4 linked regions of the Drosophila melanogaster genome follow. The protein of the gene in region 1 interacts with the protein of each later gene in a pairwise test. Each region holds a gene or a part of one and is shown in the gene's direction. Other genes may lie near its edges.

Region 1 (6,218 bases):
GCAAAAAGCTATCTAAGTTATTCTCATAAAGAGAGAAAATCACTCAAAGCACACATATGGTACTCAACAGCAAAATTCTAACCAGAAACCGTTTTCTGCATCCGAAACTGTTTTCATAATGACATTTTTAAATAGTTCCGTAATATTTGAGAGCTCTGTCGCTACTAGCATAAAAAATTGTTCTTTTGATGAGCAATAAATTGATTAAAAATTGAATAAAACTACTCAGAACAATGTTAAAAATAAGAATAAATAGCTTCGACAGTCCTAACAGTCTTGAACAGTTGTATGTGAAATATTCGTGGATCAACATGTTGTTCGGACTTATAGGATCATTTTTGCTTATGCTGCAAATAATTCTTGTGCCTTATTCAAATGGTGCAGGTAACTTTCAGCATGCATAAACTTTGTACGCAATTTAAAATCTATCCTTCCTTCAGGGTGTCAATTTGATACGGAATGCGTGAATCTGGATAAGTGTCCCAGGACCAGAGCAGTTATGAACTCATCCAGGAAAAATATAATAGGTCTTAGAAGATGCGGCACTAATAAAGTGTGCTGCCCCAAGTGGGAAACGTATCTGCCACACGATACTTGTGGACAATCAAGAAGAAAACCTACGAAGGGCAAAATACCGGCGCTGAATGAGTTTCCCTGGATGGCCATGCTGTTATATGGAAATAAAAACAATTTGTCCCAGAAGCTGGTACCAAAATGTGGTGGATCCCTAATAAACAACTGGTACGTCCTGACCGCAGCGCACTGCGTGGAGTATCCATTTATGGACTATCCGTATGCCCTCAAAACAGTGAGACTGGGCGAACATAACACGTCCACAAATCCCGATCGGGCTATTGTGAATGGAAGAAGACAGTACGCTCCTCTTTATATGGAAATTGAAGTGGACCAAATTATTACGCATGAACAATTCAACCGGGGAAGGCGGCTGATAAACGACATAGCACTCGTGCGTCTTAAGTTTCCTGTGCGGTGAGTAATGATTCTCCTCTGGTCGAAATAGAAGTAGGATATGAATTGAAATAATATATCTTTATATCTTCCTATAGCTATACGAGAGCCATCCAACCTATTTGCCTTCCAAGAGCCCAAAAATTGGCCGCGCATAAGCGAAAGTTTCAAGCATCCGGCTGGCCAGACATGGGACAAGGAATTGCAAGTGAGGTACTCTTGCGCAGCTTCATCGCGGAACGGCATCCAGATGTGTGCAAATCAAATTATGACTTTAATTTGGGCAGTCAGATATGTGCTGGTGGTCTGGATGGGAATGACACCAGTCCCGGCGATTCCGGGGGACCCTTAATGGAGACCGTGATACGTGGAAAGGTCACACTCACTTATGCAGCCGGCATAATCTCCTACGGACAGAAGCCCTGCGTACTTAAAACTTGCAAGCCAGCATTTTACACAAAAACTTCATACTTTTTTGAATGGATAAAATCGAAATTGCAAAGTCCATTTATCGACAGCGACAGCAAATCTCGTACTAGAAAATAAGCAATTTATTTAATTCCTACATTTTATTGCCTCAAAAACTAGTTTAACTGCATCCAGGAAAAGGTTCGGCGCGATTTTTGCGCAGTACGAACTGAATTTTTCGGTTCATGTCCTCGTTGTAAATGGCCTTGCATTTCTCGAAGTTGATGCGACGACGAACCTATACAATAGTTTAATACAGTAAATAATAATAAATAGTTAAGTTATTTAAAGTCGAACCTGATACGGCTTTTCGTAGAATCGCGTGCGGCGAAATTGGTCGAGCAGTTCTTCTTTTCCCAAGACGCGATTTAACAGACGACACGCCTCCTCCACATTATTGTTTTGCACCAGAACGGTGCGGGCCAGAAACTGCACGTGTCTCATTTCGGATAAGTAGTTTTATTTTATAAAGTTTTCCAAATGTTTATTAAATAATCGGCTTTCAAAACAGTGTGACCATTTACTGTACTGCTAAACAGCTGATGAATATCACTAACCAGGGCTAACGATTGCTAATAAGAATCGTGGACTCAGAAGGAGTACTTTGAGAACCACTCAACTTAATAAATAAGAAAAATATTTATTCAACACAGTATTTATTAATGCATTGCCAAAATTATTTCTGTAATGCCCATCACACTTAAGAAATACATATTATATCCCATCAAATTATCAAAAATTGCTAATCACCTGAAAATGACTAAAATACCAGTTTTCGGACCTTTGCGGTGCGAGGCAACCCTGATGTTGTGGTTTTTCTTGCCGTTTGCCGCTCTGGTCACACTGGTTTCCAGTTTTCTTCCTAGCGTGGCGGCCATAGTAAGCTGTTGAAAAGTATTCGACGTAAATTAAATTTGTTGTAAAAGTGAAACTTCCAGGAATCGGGCTGCGAAAGTTACTATTTGCTTTAGGCACGACACGACACGAAAAAAGGTGAGCTGGGGCGGCTCTGGGCTAATTAAGATTACCACCTGATTTTGCACATTTCGTCTCGCATTGTGCGGTTTGCCAATGTGTGTGTCTACTTGGTAGACACTTCCTTTGCGCTTGGTTTTCTCATCTCTGTCGTTAAGTAATCATCGATAATTGTTTTTTGTCAGAGAATTTGCCTTCGATTTTTGGCATTAGATTTGCAAAATCGATGGCCATCTAGCTTTTTTTCTCTTCTTTGTTCAATCGAATTCTTCTGACGCAGCGTCTTGCGCGGCACATGTTGGTACGCATACAAGCGCAAAGTCTGGTGCATGTGTGTGCTAGGCACTGGTGAAAATATAATAATTGTATCTATTGATTTGCCTGCTAAATCGAAGGCTGCTTCTAGAATTCATTTCCATTCTTATTTTCGACTCTGCCCTTTCTCCTTTCATTTGTTCCCCTTTTCGTTCTTTTACGGTTTTTTCATTATTACCCTCTCCGCTTTGCAGTCGCCGTTCGCAAAACCAGGGCTGCAATGCGCTGACGAAAACTTCTAGAAACTGTGTGTATGTGTGCGTGCGAAAGAGAAGCGGTTGTTGTCGAAAGGGGGAAAGAGAGCGTCAGCTGCTCGCCGTATTGAAATACGACAATTGTTCTAGAAAATCGACTAGAAAACGTCGCAGTTATTTTCGCGAACACATGGCGGCGTAACGACCTTGAATCCCGGGCTCTAGCTTCCGGCAATGCCTACTATTTTCCGTTGCCCCCCAAATTACACGGAAAAAAATGGGTGATGGCATCAAGTCACAGCTGTAGAAATCAATAAACAAGAAAGGGTCATATGATCGAGTGGTTTCTGGATTTTGAAAAATGTATTTCTACAAAAAAAAATGGGTAACAAAATATAGGTTACTGATTTTTGTTTACAATACTAGTTAGAGAGGAATCAGCCCTTTGAACTATGAAATGTCATTAGATATAAAACTGACAATAACTTCCATCGGGAACCTAGCTGCCATAGAAACAGCACCACAAAATAAATTTTTTTTTTTCATTTTTTATAAGAACTGGCATCCAAATCGGTTGAAACTTCAAAAATTTTCGGTATTACACAACTTCATAATTTCTACCTATATATGCCTGGAGCATACACAAATCTGTTCCCCAATCTGTTATTTACAAGCTCCCAGATAGTAATTACGCACTACTTCGTCTGTTCACAGTAAACAGCAAACAAAATGGTTAAGGAGACTGGATATTATGATATACTTGGCGTGAAGCCTAATGCCACGCCCGACGAGCTGAAGAAGGCTTACCGCAAGCTGGCCCTCAAGTACCATCCGGACAAGAACCCCAACGAGGGCGAGAAATTCAAGGCCATTTCGCAGGCTTACGAAGTGCTGTCCGATGCGGACAAGCGACAGGTGTACGACGAAGGCGGCGAGGCGGCCATCAAGAAGGGCGGCGCAGATTCCGGTGACTTCCGCAATCCTATGGACTTCTTTGAGAAGTTCTTTGGCGCTGGATTCGGAGGTAGTGGCGGTGGACGCAGGCGCGAGAGGCGTGGCAAGGACGTGGTGCACCAGATGTCCGTACAGCTGGAGGAGCTGTACAATGGAGCGACCCGCAAGCTGCAGCTCCAGAAGAATGTGATCTGCGACAAGTGCGAGGGTCGCGGCGGCAAGAAGGGCAGCATTGAGAAGTGCTTGCAGTGCCGTGGTAACGGTGTGGAGACACGGGTTCAGCAGATCGCCCCCGGCATCATGCAGCACATCGAGCAGGTGTGCCGCAAGTGTTCGGGAACTGGCGAGACCATTCAGGAGAAGGACCGCTGCAAGAACTGCAGTGGCCGCAAAACGGTGCGGGAACGCAAGGTATTGGAAGTGCACATTGAGAAGGGAATGCGGGATGGCCAGAAGATCGTGTTCACGGGAGAGGGCGATCATGAGCCGGAATCTCAGCCGGGCGATATTATTATTCTTTTGGACGAGAAGGAGCACTCCACATTCGCGCACGCCGGACAGGATTTAATGATGAAGATGCCGTTGCAACTTGTCGAAGCGCTCTGCGGATTCCAGCGAATCGTTAAAACGCTCGATGATCGCGATCTGATTGTGTCCACACAGCCCGGCGAGGTTATCAGGCATGAGATGACCAAGTGTATTGCCGAGGAGGGTATGCCCATTTTCAAGAACCCCATGGAGAAGGGCACGTTGATCATCCAGTTCGAGGTGATCTTCCCGGAGGTGATCAATCCGTCGGTGGTGCCCACGCTTAAACAGTGCCTACCCCCGGCGCCGGAGGTTGACATTCCAATCGATGCAGAGCAGACGGTTTTGGTGAGTATTTCAGTAGTAGTTTATATCACGATATATAAATAATATATTATTTATAATTAATTTATTTATCGATTTGCTTATCTTTCGCAGGAGGACTTTGATCCCAAGCAACGTCGCCAGCAACACCAGCGCATGGCCTACGATGAGGACGATGGCGGCTATCAGGATGGCCCACGCGTCCAGCAGTGCACATCGAGTTAAGCGCCCCCGCTGCGTGTTGCATCCCCGGACACACAGCCCTAATAATACCCCAACCAACAAGCCGTAATAATATGTAAACCAGCTCCCGGAACACTGTAATTGCGCTTGCAAGTGCCGAAGAACTCCCAAAAGCACCTTAAAACACCATCCAATTCACACTAGGAGGCCCAACCAATCGAGAGATCTAAAGTTATTTCATGCAAGCTACGATATTTAGGTATAAATCAAAGAAACTTATCAGATATATGCACTATGTCTATAACGCGTGGTTGTTTGTAAACCAACATTTTTCTTTATGTTTATGTTGCGTTGGATTGTCAAAGAATCGAAAACGGAAACTGAAACTAAACTAAACTGAAATTGAAATTAGCCGCCACTAGAACCGTATCTAAAGTCCGCGCCAGCGAACACGTCTAGGAACAAGTTTAAGTTATTTAATTCCAGCATAAATAAAAGCGTTAGTTTAAACGGATATAACAAATAAATAATTAATACACAATTTCAACCCAAATGCTGTATATTCTTCTTCCCATAGTTCCAGTATCACTTGCCTTCCTCCGGCTATCTATTGATTCCATAATCGCTGCATAGTCACCCGCAGGTGTGAATCATTCGAATAATGCCAATTGGAGATATCAGGCATATGGCAGTAGTTTCGTCTTGAGTACATTATTTAAAATGCTATCTGGGATAAGTAAAAGATAAAAAGAAAGATAAGGATAGTTTGGGATATATATGGTAATGCCATTAAATCGTTAAGGATATAATGAGGGATTTTGTAGTTGTTGAGGATTATAAAGCATCCTATAAATGAATCTGCGGACCTGCCTGTCGCAAGGAATAACATCAAAAGCAAATTCAAAATGTAAAATGTTTTGTAAATTTATTTACAAAATTTCAAAATGAACTACAACATAATCTGGTGGAAACTAGTGCGCAAAGTTTCGGAGAGCGGCCACAACTCCAGTTCCATAGATGAGCTTCTCCTCCACACGCTGCCAAGCCTCCTGCTGCACCTGGGACACAGTGCGCAGCTCCTTTACCAAATCCGGGAACTCCGTCAACCCGAGACCGTGGGATCGCAAGAAGACGCTTAGATACGATTGAGCCAGCTCAAAGTTCAGATTGGTTCCAAACATGAACTTAACGAGTTTGAGGAACTGCAGCATGGCAAGGAGTGTTCCTCCAGCCTCCGGGTGCAGAGATTTGATCTCAAAGTCAACCATCGATGGTCCTAGTTGGGTCAAGTGCGCCACAGCCGATGCG
Region 2 (4,107 bases), on another chromosome or scaffold:
AAGTGGTTTATTGCCACCCGTGATGCTAACAGCAATTTTTACCCCCAGTTCATCATGTGGAATTACAACGCATTTATTTACTTTGTTTACATCACTTATTATTGTTGTTAATATTGGTATTGCAATGTGTTTGTTTTTTTGTTTGCCCTTTTTTTGTGCAAAAATTGATTTTTCTTCTGGGTCTGCCCCGCTCACATTTCCACCTCCTCCCTTCGCTGCCATCCCTTGAGCGTGTCAGAGTTCATCATTACGCCCGTCTAATGTCAAAGATTGTCAACCTTCGCTGAGCGGTTGTGTTTAAATATTACAAATACGACATGTTGTCATGCCACATGAAGACCGGCTTACTAGAAAGGGCGGTCTCAACAAACCCTATTCTCACACCATCACACGACTTTTTTATTACGTCCCCTTTTAAATTATGCTCTGTGAATGGGAATGATTAAAATAATAACAAAAAAGGAAATCAAGCGACGAAATAATATACTGAGTTGACAATACGTTTAAGAGGCCATTTTAAAATAAAAGTTTACCAGGACAGAGAGAGTAGAGTGCCTCGACTACAAGATACCTCTCACTCAGGTGATAATCGGGGTGGCAACTCACTGAAACAAACTGCGACAGCATACGCTGCGGAAGGAAAATGCACAATAAATGGAAATAGAAAAGTTTAATTGAAACTCATTCAAAAAAAAAAAAAAAACAATCAAAGCATGCTAAGGATCTCTATATCTGAAACAGATGCTCTCTACAAAATAGTTGCAGTGAAAAATGGCAAGAGAGTGGGCAAAGAAAAGCGCAGAAGGAGAAAGGCTTCATGATGAAGGATGCTTGTTGTTTGCTGCAGTTAAATTAAATGAAAAAGTTTAAAACTTTTTTAATGAAACCATTTTATTCAGTAGAGGCATAAACAAAAAAACAGTCCCCATTCCGTTGTAACAATAGCACAAAAAAGATGCAAGACAAAGGAAAACAAAAGTCTGAGCGGAAGAAAAACTTGATGCAACTTGCATGGTCTGAAAGGAATCAAAAAAAAAAAAAAAAAAAAAAGAATAAAATGTCCCAATAAAAATCAAAATATGTATGAGACTTAAAGGGGGTGGCCTATGCTTGCTTTCAACTTTGTAAATTAAATTGCCCGTTATTTGATTTAAAATGGGCGGCGCAGTCTTTTTGAGCTTAAGTGACGTATGCGTAATCTGAATGGGGAGCTAATCGAAAAGCCACCTTGATACGGACGATAAAACCCATAGGCTCTGGCTATGGGTGTTCGCTTCTAATGCAACTGTCGCTTTCAGGGACTCGCAAGCAATTGGTAATTACGCCAAAAATTAAACAGGGACGTAATCAAGAAAACATCAAGGATAAAAGCTTAAGCTTGGACCAAACAAGGTGCTTATTATTTAATTAAGTAAATTCAAATAAATTAAATTAAATAAATAAATAAATTTAAATTTGTATATCCCTATATCGACATATTCAATTTCTTTGCTAAACATTGTTCTCTACATTTTTGTCTTTCATTGCACACAACTTTGCAGGTACATTTTGCGTACATATTGTGCATTCCTATTATGCCATTCAATGCACCAGTTTGATATTAAAACAGCAACTTGTGTCGCTGGGCCAGTTATCAAATACATACCCTTTCTTTCCTGGCTTACAGGTTGTAATCTGTTAGAATTCACGTCTTAACTACCGGTAGTACGATGAAACGACCCTGCTGCGAGATAAACATTATGCCAAATTAAAATGCATTCTGTAGTTTCTATAATTAATGCGAACGCATGCCGTCGAGTGGTGCGCTTTGAAACGTAATCCACCGGATCCAGCCACAAGAAATCACTGAGTCAATAAAAGCGTGAAATAAGAGAGATGAGATTGTAGAAGGAATGAAGTTAACGGCGCAACAGCTATCATGATGGCAGAAGAACAATAAATCGTATATGAAAAGATCTAATAACGAGGGAAACGGAAACGGAAGTTATTGAAGTGCTAAAAAAAATGGCGAACTGAAATAATAAAAGTAGTTGTTGTGTGCAGTAAACTGAGATTTTACTGGCTCTAAGGTGTGGAGTTTTATGTTTACGTTTGTCGATCACATGATAAATCTACTACAACAATTTGTATTTGATTTATATATCAAAATTTGGTTTATTAAAGTATTTCATAATTATGTAAACTAATACCCCTGCATCGCTTAATACAATTTATCCCTAACATCCGAAGCAATGTCTGATGTGGAGCAAGAAGCCTCTGGAGACGTTGATAATGAGCAAAATGAAGGACAAGAAGCTGCTGAAGATTTTGAGGGAGAGGGCGAAGGAGACGAACAGGACGTTGAAGAGGAAGATAAGTTCGAGGTGGAGGAGAAGGATCCCTTTGAGCTCCTCAATGAGAGCGATGAAGACGATGAAGAGCAACAGGCAATGTACAAGGAGTATCAGGAGGTGGTCAACGCTATTGATGCGCAGAACAGGATTATAAAAGAGCTCAAGGCAAAGTCCAATCGACTGATGTTCAAGAAGTGCAAGACTTATAGAGACAAGCAGGAATACAAACAACTTAGGGTCTGTCAGGAGCATGAGGAGATCCATTTAAAGGTTCTCGTGAATAGAGCCATGCACCTCCAAAACTTCGGTTCACCTAGGCGCTACAGAGATATAGAAATGGAAGTCACAGAGGACGAGAAGAGCTACTTTTATACTGAACTACAATCGACCTTATCAGGCTTTTGTCCCACGGATTCGGCTGACGAATATGAGTCGGATTCTGAATCGGATAATGGACTATGTTGTACCTAGTTTCCTAGCGGAGTTTCCGAAAATTGACGGGGAAAAGTTATGAAAATACTTGAATAATTGTGGAATATCTTCATATTTTACATATATACATATCTACACATATCAACGACACTGCACTCAATAAAATGGGAAAGGATGGAGGGAATGTGAATAAAAAATGCAAGAAAATTTCAATAAAATGCAAGTAAATGCAAAATTTAATTTAATCCCTCGATTTCTAAAATATCTGCCTAGCACTTCTTTTAGCTGGGTTTAATAGTCAAGAGTCCAGACGTGGAGTAGCCAAATAGCGGGAAAGTGTAGAGCAATAGCAATAAGCGCAAAAACAAGACGATTGTGCCCCCAGACAGAATAAGGGGATCAAAGCAAAACAGCCATAAACAAATAACCGAAGAGGCACAGAAAGACGCCAGTAGACGAGAATGAATCGAAACGAACTGAATTGAACCAAAACTTCTCTCGATGATTTCTTCGTTCCCTCCTCCTTCTTTTATTATGCCTCAATTCTCACTCTCCGCCAAGTGCCACGCCCATTGTGGCGCTTGATGGGGAACACTTCGCAAAAACGAGATAGTTTGACGTTTTCTACACAACTGGTCACTGTTTAAATTTTATTTACATTTAGAAAGATTTGGAGAAAAGTGAAATGTAAATTATTTCGATTAAAAGATAATTTATGTGGACTTGCAACTTAGAAATTTATGGTTTAACCCTAAGGTGGAAAATTCAAAAGCGCGATTTTAGAAGGGGAATGTTGTCGGCGCCAAATTCGCCAACCCAATGTGCAGAAGCAGCGGCTTCGACCGCGTTGCGACGTCACCTTGCGTCCATTCACCCCGTTCATCATTGTTTATGAGTGTGTGCCCAGACACAAAAACAAGCACACATTAACGTATACAGCAAAATTCCTTTAACTGTGCTTCGATTCCATTCCATTTTCCATCTGGTTCTGTTTCTGTTTTTTGGACCTCTGCCTTGGGTCTTCTGTTCATGTCTCTTCGCCCCCCCCCCCCCCCCCCACCCAATTCTCCAACCCTACTGCGTTCTCCCGCTTGTTGTTATTGCACTGTCTGCGGCTTGGGTATTTTTTACGCGCCTGTGCTCCATTCCACGTTCCCAGTCTCCCCGTCTCGTTCCAACAACCTTGGTATATATCTTCGCCGCCCAAAAAAAGTGTGCGAAAAATACTCTAGGAAGATTCAGAATCGCGGAGTCGGATCTAGGAGAGTCGTAATTATTCATGTTTTTTTTTTTAGATACATGTATGTATGTATGTATGTATAACGTGTATGTATGTATGTAT
Region 3 (3,990 bases), on another chromosome or scaffold:
AATTTTTCGTGTGCTCAGCAGAACGAACGAGCGGACTTGGAATCTGACAAAGAGGACAAAATAAGGGGAAAGGACTACGAATATAGTGGGTGGTATCCAGCGAAAGGTAGTGAGCGAGCAGGAGTTGGTGAAATCATGAAATATTGCATAGCTGAAGTGATTTTTATGAACTCTTCAAAAGTAGCTCAGTGAAAGGCGAATAGACAGTGGAAGAACTTGGGCTGTTTGTTCAACATAAAGGTTCCCGGCACGCTAACGAGCTTAAAGATGTTGCACAAAGTGCGCACTGAAATTGCATCCATAATGGCGCCCAACGGAGGCGGTATGATATAATGCTCAGTAAGGGCTCCCTTCGCCATTTTCCATTTCGGGATAAAGGCGATTTTCATCGAAAGCTGCGCCCAAGTCTGGAAAACTCTGTTAAGTGGGCAAAGGTCAAGAGCAGATCAGTTCAGTTAGGGCTCCACACAAATAAGCCAATTTTCTATTTAAGATAGATCTTACTCCGTAAGGTACTCTTTCAAATAGTAATTTAATTGGATTTGTTTAGAGAAATTTTTAAACGTGCCTTAATTCATTCAATTCAATTCATTTTATTTATCAATCTAACTAAAGTCAAATGGATTATGGAAAGGTTAAGTTTTACATGGAGTAAGCGCTCGTGGGATCCTCTTTGGTTTCCGTTAACTTACAACATTTTCTGGCTTAGATTGGATTTAATTTTTGATCGGTACAAACAGACGTGAAAATGTTGGATTAAAATGCTAACAAGACTTTTGCGAAATACCAATTTTTGGATGGCAGACAGAGACACCTGAGCCAGGAATATGAAAACTATTGGGCAAAAACGGTGGATAATAGGGCTCTGTTCGTAGTAGTGGAAACTTCGTCCAGACATTGTGTTGAGTAATTCTTTTGTAATGCGGAAGGAAGCCCAAAACAACACAGTGCACAGCGATTTCCGTGAAGAGGGAAAGGGCAGCGGAAATAACTTCAAGACAAAGCACAGAACTGACCTGCGTTCGGTGGGCTGGGAAAATTGGGTGGTAAAGGGGTTCGCAGATAAATTGCTGCAGTGTTTAGTTAATACTTCTGACCGTCTTATGGCCTGGCCTTTCGTCCTTGGCTGCTGCTTCCAATTCAGCAGGATACCGAACAGCGATGGATTCTCGCAGCTAGATACAAGGAACAAGGAACAGCAGCTGGCTCGACAAGTTTATCTTTTGTTACTGAGACAAATACTTTGTTGAGAGATACTAAACTAGAAAACATTCTCCTCCGCCTTCCATTCAGGCTTTTTCAGTTTTATTTGCCGGCATTTCTTGCAGGTTAGCGTCAAAATCCTGCAGGAGGAACAGAGGCCAGAACAGAGCCCGGAAAACTTAAACAGAAATTAAAACGAATCTGGACAATGCACAGTGGGTAAAAATGGCTTATTACTCCTTATTGTATGCAGTAAGTAACTTTGGTTTAATGTAATTTAGCAGAACTACTATTCATATTTCCACGTTAATCTTAACAAATCTTTAAAAAGCAACTTTTGTTTTTATTTTTTTTTTGTCTCTGGGAACTAAGAAAACTTTTTTAAGAATATTTTTCTACAACACTTGACAATCCTATATTATATTTCTAGTAAATCAGTGTTGTGCATCGCATAGCAGTAGGCAGTTAGTAATATACCGATGTGTAATTTTTAAGTGACATTTATTTATTATTCGATACTAGATTGTCGATACAAATTGGTGTGTGAAAAATGGACTCGCAGGAGGGTACTCAGTGCCAGATCCTGGCCATCGTCATTCGGGTGTGTGTGTTTAGCGCGTTAACGTACTACACTGCCAAATGGATGATCAATGCGCTGGATCCCAATAATAAGATCCGGGGTAAGGCGAAATATGTTGCGGAAGAGCAGCTGCGCAAGCTGAACTCCTCGGCGATTGGCGCGGCAAAGAAGTTTCGAGCCCGTGACTTTAATGAGCACGAGATGATGATTGCTTCGCATCTGGTGACGCCTGAGGACATTGATATCAGTTGGTCGGATATTGCCGGACTGGATGGGACTATTCAGGAGCTTAGGGAGACGGTGGTTCTCCCAGTGCGTCATCGTAAGCTCTTTAGCCGATCGAAACTGTGGCGAGCGCCCAAGGGAGTCCTGCTGCATGGACCGCCTGGTTGTGGCAAGACCCTGATCGCCAAGGCCATTGCCAAGGATGCTGGGATGCGATTCATCAATCTGGACGTGGGTGTGCTAACGGACAAGTGGTACGGCGAAAGCCAGAAGCTGGCCACAGCCGTTTTCACGCTGGCCAAAAAACTTCAGCCCTGCATCATCTTCATAGACGAAATTGAATCTTTTCTCAGGATGCGCGGTAGCAATGATCACGAGGCAACCGCCATGATTAAGACTCAGTTTATGTTGCAGTGGGATGGGTTAATGAGCAATACCAACATTTGTGTCCTCGTTTTGGGGGCCACAAACCGGCCGCAAGACCTCGATAAAGCCATCCTGCGCCGTATGCCCGCACAATTTCACATTGGAGTGCCGCGAGACTGCCAGCGACGCGAAATCCTTCAGTTGATCCTCCAGACAGAGCAACTGAGTCCTTCGGTTAATCTGAAGGAGCTGGCCCGACTGACGATTGGATTTTCAGGATCCGATTTGCGGGAATTGTGTCGCCACGCATCCATGTACCGTATGCGCCAGTTTATGCGCGAAAAGCTGAACACCGGCGAGGAAATTGGAAAAGACAAGATTGAATGGGACTTCGAGGTAAAGGATCAGGCCTTGCAGGAGTGGGAGCACTTGGAAATTCAAATGGAAGACCTTCTCAAGTCGCTGTCCGTCATGAAGGCGTCGAAACATCAGGCGCAGGGCACTTTTCTCGAAAAGGATCTGGAGTTGGACTGAGGGTGCCGTTTTGGGTATTGATGAGCATAAAATCGGCAATAAAAGCTTCGTTATGTGCTTCATCAATTTTGCAGTTTTCTCTTGTCTTATTTGGAAGATTTCTTTGTATAAGCCAAATTTTATATTAATTAATATTTTAAACTCTAAAGCATCAAGCCTCCTTTAAAAAAGTGTCCTTGTCTTCCTCCCACTTTCACTTACCGCTGGTCTCTCTCAGCGAATTGGTATGTTCAATAACAAATTCCATTGCACAGCCAAGCTCATTTTTTCTCAGTGCTTCGCCATTATCTTCCGGCTAGTTCTATTTTACGAGACTACGCTCTTTATACCTCACTTTGGCTCATCCTGCCCAGTTACCAACACCCCAAACTGTCAGCCCGACCTATATTTTTCACATTTCATGGCATGCATGAAGAGTTTTTGCAGCCATGAAGAGCGGCGAGTTATCTGAAAAAAGGTCTGCAACCAGGAACGGCTGCGAAAGAACAGCACCAGCACAGTGGCACAACAAAAACTCAAAATAACAACAGCTACGACAGCAACAACAAAAAATCTTTTATGTAAAATTGAATATTCATAAGTTGATTCACAGAAGCGGCAGAAGCCTAACTACGGACCTCAGCCTCCGCCTCGTTTGCTTCTGAATTACTCTTGCGAAGAGTGTTTTTAATTTTATCATGCATATGCAATTCAGTAGTAAAGAACTTAATTAATAAAGTCGGTATATGGAAAATGTTCTTTGAAAACGAAATAGGAGTGTTTACTTATATTTAACATTTTATTAGCCAGTCACTTCACTTGATTGCATTAAAAAATGAACTAAATACATGATTTGTTATATTTTAGTTAGTTTTTATATTTGTATTATTTATTCTCCAATTACCAAACAATAATAAATAATAAACTTAATAAATAAGCTTAAAGCTAACGACTTAAAGATCGAAAAAAAAAACTGTTTTTTTTTTTAAGTTCTTATTTGAGCAAAGGGTACTTTATATTCGTTATTTAGGACCATGCAATGAGGTCCTTTGTTGGTAGTGTTGTTGCACTGGACTGCTCGTTGATTGTTTTTGTGTGTAGTT
Region 4 (6,367 bases), on another chromosome or scaffold:
GTGGGATTCACTGCGGTCCCTGCCAATAGGGCCACATCAACTTGCTCTACGCGGCGGGGATTCTTAGGAATGCTGGCTACGGATTCGGCGTAAACCTTCAGCAGCTGATGTGAGTCCACTTGAGTGTCACTGGCATCGCCATTTACTTGCACCTGTTTATAAGTTTCCAGAGCCCTTTCCACGCTCTTCTCATGAATCTTCAGATGATTGTTGAGACTCTCCGAATGCAGGAACTTTTTGTCACAAACCTGCAAGGCGAAAATATATCAGACTTTGGTAACAAGGGTATAATGGTAATTCCCTTACCTTGCATTCGCAGCGCTTCTCACCAGTGTGCGCCATCTCGTGTATTTTGCAGGCGTATGCTTTCCCGAACGTCTTTCCACAGTACTGGCAAGCAAAATTCCGGATTTTCTCATGTACGATCTTAACATGGCTCTCTAGCACCCGCTTCGTGTGGGTGGCATAGTCGCAGATGCGGCACTTAAACTGGTTCCGTTGGGTGTGGATCAGAATGTGCTTACTCCATTCCTGGCGGGTGGTCTTTCGCACTCCGCAGTACTGACACACGTAGTTCTTGATGCCAGCATGCCGGAGAAGATGATTCTTTAGGGCACTATTGATGTAAAAGCCCTTGCCGCAAATGGTACACGGATAGGGAAGCTCTTCGCCCGTGTGCGTGTACATGTGCTTCTTCATAGCCACCGGGCAACGAAACACCACGCCGCATTCCTTGCAAGACTGTTCACCCCGCGGAGCAATAACCCTCGCCTGGTTGTGAACCTTTTTCAAGTGAATGGTCAGCAGCCGGAGACGGGAAAAAACCAATTGACAGCCCTCCACGGTGCAGGGAACCGTATCCTCCTTCTTGGAGTGCGCATAGTCCACGTGCAAACGCAGTGCACCGGCTGTGGTGAAGCCCTTTCGGCAGCTTTCCTCCTGACACTGAAACGGCAACAGGTCATTGTGGTGCTTCATGTGCTCCTCGAACTTTGATTGCTTTTTGAACTTTTGCTGGCAGATGGAACAGCTCATAAGGCGAAACAGTTTACGCTTGTCGTTCGCAATCCGTCGCTGCCCCATGGCCTGCTCATCGTCGCTGTTGAACCCTTCCGACTCCTTTTTCTCCTCCTCCAGTCCGTTGTGCTCTGCACTGGAGAAGTGCTCCTCGCTTTGGTCCCTTGAATGCTCCTCTAGTTCCTTGTCAACTTTTTCCAGCAACTTGAACACATCCTCCTCGTTGTCAATCATCTCTAGTTTGTTATTCAGCAGCGGATCGAAACTGGCCGGCTCCTCTGGCCTTTCAGGTGCCTCAGAATCATCAGCTATAGATTCGAATACACCCATGGGCATATTCCTCTGGCTGGTCATCATTTCCTTTAGACGTTTAATAGATTCTGCGCACAGTTCGCGGAAGTCATGCAGGTCGTTCAGCTTGGTGAAACATTGGGTGCACAGGTTTCTCGGGAAACCGTCGTTTTGATCCGCATCAAACGAAGTGCACGCCCTGAGCTTCTGGAACAGATCTGGAACCACGAAGAGATCGTGTCCAGCACCATGCTTCAGGTGGACAAGGCAGGTGAGACAAAGCGATTGGACGGAGTACTTGAGCTCCATAGTGCCCATTTCCCTCAATTCTCGGGCAGATAACAATCGAAGCTTCTAAACAAATTTGTTCCAGTGTGACAGGCAGTCTGACCGTTTCGCTATGCCATTAACCCATTACGGTGTAGTGGGGTGGCAAGTAAACAGCATACTTGGATTCTTATTTTTATATTAACTTGTTTTAATGTAAGTGCTTTTTAGCAAGACCATGCATGCGTCTAGTTAAAATACATTTATTTATTATTTATTTTTGACTTTATTTCGATACAGAAATCTTGTACGTTCATTTTCGTATCAAATTTTCTTGATGCCCAGTTTGTATATTTTCAAATGTCGTTGCTTATTATTAAAAGCAATTTGTTTTACATGTTTATATATACATACTAATACAAAAAAATTTGTTTTATATTTTTTCTATATATACATACCATTATCTATATATTGTAAGTTCAGTTTCGTTTTTGTTACTATGGTGCTCAGTTTGCAAAATATTTTTAAAAAACCCTGAAATACTATTTGAAGTATACAAGCAATATCTATTTAATTAAATTAGTTGTATATATATATATTTTTTTTTTTTGTATATTGCAACCTAATTAGAATTGCAAATAAGAAGGTAAGAAAAAACATTGATTGTCCAGCCCTGAAACGCAAAACAACTACGCACTCGGACGAGTAACTCGCTGGCAGAAGTACTTGCTTATTGCCCACTCGCCCGATTGCCAGTCGACGAGTATACAATTTTTTCTGTGTCAATATTATTTTATTGCTTACTGACCGGAGAGAGACGCAAAAAGCTATAGAAAACCGCCCCGATCCGCAGTGCCGATTGCGATTGAAAGCAAGATGAACGAGGGCAGGCAGTACTCGATCCACAGCCTGTGCAGGATCTGTCTGAACCACCTGCAGAACGACGCCGCCTACGATTTGTATCTGGTTCCAGGACTTTCGAAGAAGCTATGCTTCTGCACATCCCTGTCCGTGGAGCAAAACGACGGATTCCCGAAGAACCTGTGCACCCTGTGCTACACCAAGCTGAACGAGCTGCACGACTTTCAGAAACAGTGCGTCGATTCCGTGCAAAAGTTCCAGGATCTGGTGGCCAGCAATGTCTTTGCCTGCCAGAGCAGCTTCGACGTCTTCGATCCCAACGTTGCCGTGCAGGACTACCCGGCCGAGGAAGAGGACCACGTCAACTATGACCCGCTGCTGAACCACAAGATGGAGCTAATCGAGAACGAGGAGGATGTCTTCAAGATGCTGGAGCACGTCGACAAGGAGGCCGAGGAGGTGGAGAAGGAGGCCAAGGTGGAGGAGGATGACGGGGGCAACGTTTCCGTCAAGATGTTCGACGACGATTCGTCCATCGAGAGCGGCAATGACAACGACCACGATCTGGACTTCGAGCCAAATAGCAGCGATGATGACATTCCGCTGGCCCAGCGCATGAGGGGACCAGCTACCGGATCAGGACCCCAGCAGGACCGTTTTAGCAACCTAGACAAACCCAAGCCGAGGCCCCGGGGACGGCCCAAAAAGATAAAACCGCCTCCGCCAGAGGAGGAGGAGTTGAGCGACTCATCCTCCGAATCAGATGACTCCGAAGACGGCACATCGCGGGGCGACAAGCCGAAGAGGAAGCGCATTCCCATCGAGGAACGCCACCTGCACCGCATCATCGACTGCCACATTTGCCACCAGAAGTTCAAGAAGGCCATCCGCTACGAGGAGCACATGAAGTACCACAACGACCTGCTGCCCTTCCAATGCAAGGTGGAGACCTGCAAGAAAGGTATAACGCTGGCTTAAGTATAAATATAAGTATCCGATCTCTATGAAATCCCACCTTACAGGTTTCACTACCGCCAATGGGCTGCGCATTCACATCGACCACGCCCACACAGAGCTGTCCGAGGTTCACGCCTGCATCGCCGAGGGCTGCGGCAAGACCTTCCCGCGCGTCCGTCTGCTCACCTTCCACATGAAGAAGGTGCACGGTATCACCAAGGCGGCTGCCCCGCTTCGAGATTTCCCCTGCACAGAATGCGACACCGTATTCCGCTGCCCCACAGCACTCAAGAAGCACATGTATAAGCACACGGGCGAGGAGCTTCCGTATCCTTGCAATATCTGCGGCAAGCGTTTTGTAATCAATAGTGCTTTAAGGGATCACCTTATGCGTCACGCAGGCATCAAGAACCATGTGTGTCCGTACTGCGGGGTGGGCAAGACGACGCGCCAGGAATGGAACGCCCACATCCTCACGCACACCAAGGAGAAAAAGTTCAAGTGCCGACAGTGCGACCATGCCTCGCACAACAAACAGGCGTTGTCCAATCATGTAAAGGTGGTGCACGAAAAGCGCAAGGACTTTGCCTGCCAGTACTGCGGAAAGACCTTCGGCAAGTCGCACGCCTGCAAGGTGCACGAGAGGAGTCACACGGGGGAGAAGTGCTGCGAGTGCAAGATCTGCGGCAAGATATTCCTCTGCGAGAAGAGCCTCACCAAGCATTTGAAGACGCACGAGAAAAGGGATCTGCCGCCGGCGGAGCCCCTTCGCCAGCAGCTTAACATTCCCATGCCCGGCCAAATGTCCGTACCGATGCCGGGCCAGATGCCGATGCAGATGCAGACGGATGGTTTGGTGCCAATGGACCCCAACCAGATGCCTAGTGAGGACATGCTGAAGGCATGCGGCGGCGGGACCGCTGCAGTGCCTCCCAAACCGAAGAACTCGCGACGCGTCCAGCGGGTGGACATTTCTCAGCTGGCGGGTACTGCGGTAAATCCAATACCATCCGTATCCGTGCCCTCGTGGTCGCCGCAAGTGAACTTCACCAAGAAGGAAGGCCAGCACATCTGTCCAGGCTGTGGGCGTGGCTTCAATAATATTGGAAACATGAAACTTCACTACAAAATCATCCACGAGAAGGTCAAGGACTTTGCCTGTCGCTTCTGCCCGAAGAGATTCTCCAAGGCACAGATTCTGCGGCATCACGAATGGATCCACACGGGCGAGAAGCCCTTCGAGTGCAAGATTTGTGGCAAACACTTCCGCCAGGAGACGGCACTCAAGAAACACATCAAGACGCACGAGAAGCCGAACCGGAGACACGTGCCCGAGCGCAGTGCGCCCACTCAGATCACGTTCCGCAAGCTGGAGCCAGACGCCGAGCCGCGTAACTTTGACCAGTATCAGGATCCGGCGGTGGAGCGGGCAGCGGCCACCGCTGAGCTGCTGGCGCACCAGCTGGAGGAGAACGAGGCCAAGCGGAAGGCGGAAATTGAGCGGCAGAAGATCGCGGCGGCGGCCTGCGAGCAGCTGACGAAGCTGCAGCAGCAGCAGGAGATCATCAAGGCGACCACCTCGTACGATGGCTACTATGCGCAGAAAGCGCAATCCGAGGGCACCAGCCTGGATGCCCTGAAGATCGACCACGTCTAGGCAGCAGGATTGGCTTTACTTTACTAGCATATATGCATCATAACCTAGCCACATCCATATGTATCCACTTCCAATGCAGCTGACACTGTCCGGAAAAGTTGTAGGCATGCCTCGAATTGCTCTCTAGCTGGATCAGATTGTAGGTTTATAGGCACTCCAGATTATTCGAGTGCATATTACAATATGAACACTTCATACTTTTTACGTACTACGTTTATACATACATGCAATATATGTATTATTTTGTTTTCCGTGTAATATCTCCCGTGCTTACTTAGAGTAATGGATTAAAAGTAATATTCATAACGCCATTGGAGTTTCCATCTGGTGGGCGGGACTAAGAGACCACTTTGCAATACCAGTGATTTTTACAAATATATTTTAATAACAAAAAACAAATTTTTTAGCCCGCAAGAACATTAATCAAACCTTAATTTAATTAAAATAAGTCATTTTTAGCTGAAATCCATCTGGATGGTTATGCTGAATTTTATTTCATATATTCCGTTCTTTAAATTTAGACAAATAAAGATGATAATTGATTTTTAATCGAATATTAAGAAACATTTTGCTGAACGAAATGATGTGAAAGGGGGATTTTACTGGAAAAGTTTCTATTCTGCATCCACGTCGAAATCTTCGGATGACCCTTCATTGTCTGAAGGATTATTTGACTCCTAAAACAAATTGGTTAATCTTATGTAATACATCTTTAAAACTTAGTTGATGACTTAACTGTCCAGTTATTACCATCCGTCTGATTCAAATCCATCAAACTTGAGATAATTATCTTAGCTGCCTTCCTGTTTTTGTTGGCCTTCTTCAATGCTATACTCTGCTTCTCCAGGACCTCCTCCAACTCTGCGATCTCCAGTTTAAGCCTATTTCTTCTATTCCCGGCATGTTGCAGTGCCAGTTCAGTGTCCAATACCTTAACTTCAGCTTCGAGAGCTTTTACGGAATCCTTGTCTGGTTGTTGCTCCATTTTTTTTTGTATACTCTTACTCAGCATGACAAATAATAATAAAGCTGCTATAGAAACAATTGATACAACCATATTTATAGACATACCAACGATTTAAGGTATTTTGAAAATCCTTAAAAAATTTATATTTGTTTAAAAATGTATTTAATATTTAAACTAAGACATATGTATTTTTTATTTTAAATTCTCAGACTCTTTGTATTGTATTGATCTAGTGCTAGTATTGTGCTCGTAGCTGTCCGGCAGTCTCACTCGACTGTGTGACTTGACTACGAATACACACACTCGCTGGGTCTAATACGCCCATCGTACCCTCTCCGCTGCGCACATGC

The links.
Region 2: the proteins of Droj2 (region 1) and CG13405 interact in a two-hybrid assay, tested with the Drosophila melanogaster proteins (one large-scale study listed by BioGRID).
Region 3: the proteins of Droj2 (region 1) and CG4701 interact in a two-hybrid assay, tested with the Drosophila melanogaster proteins (one large-scale study listed by BioGRID).
Region 4: the proteins of Droj2 (region 1) and D19A interact in a two-hybrid assay, tested with the Drosophila melanogaster proteins (one large-scale study listed by BioGRID).

The regions. Positions count from the first base shown.
Region 1 is NT_033777.3:13,379,829-13,386,046, forward strand, and holds Droj2 (DnaJ-like-2), read left to right. Parts: upstream 1-2,277; 5' UTR 2,278-2,316; exon of another isoform or gene 2,317-2,375; 5' UTR 2,376-2,430; intron 2,431-2,993; exon of another isoform or gene 2,994-3,284; intron 3,285-3,436; exon of another isoform or gene 3,437-3,635; 5' UTR 3,636-3,650; coding exon 3,651-4,751; intron 4,752-4,841; coding exon 4,842-4,952; 3' UTR 4,953-5,455; downstream 5,456-6,218. Other genes in the region: CG8870 (uncharacterized protein), read left to right, coding at 312-384, 441-990, 1,068-1,515; mRpS21 (mitochondrial ribosomal protein S21), read right to left, coding at 1,559-1,675, 1,735-1,881; CG9799 (uncharacterized protein), read right to left, coding at 5,882-6,218.
Region 2 is NT_037436.4:73,335-77,441, reverse strand, and holds CG13405 (uncharacterized protein), read left to right. Parts: upstream 1-2,109; 5' UTR 2,110-2,231; coding exon 2,232-2,804; 3' UTR 2,805-2,988; intron 2,989-3,050; 3' UTR 3,051-3,497; downstream 3,498-4,107.
Region 3 is NT_033779.5:14,764,254-14,768,243, forward strand, and holds CG4701 (uncharacterized protein), read left to right. Parts: upstream 1-1,654; 5' UTR 1,655-1,753; coding exon 1,754-2,908; 3' UTR 2,909-2,972; downstream 2,973-3,990.
Region 4 is NT_037436.4:6,185,064-6,191,430, reverse strand, and holds D19A (D19A), read left to right. Parts: upstream 1-2,307; 5' UTR 2,308-2,451; coding exon 2,452-3,397; intron 3,398-3,458; coding exon 3,459-5,050; 3' UTR 5,051-5,601; downstream 5,602-6,367. Other genes in the region: CG7386 (uncharacterized protein), read right to left, coding at 1-248, 307-1,617; CG43293 (uncharacterized protein), read right to left, coding at 5,665-5,727, 5,787-6,035.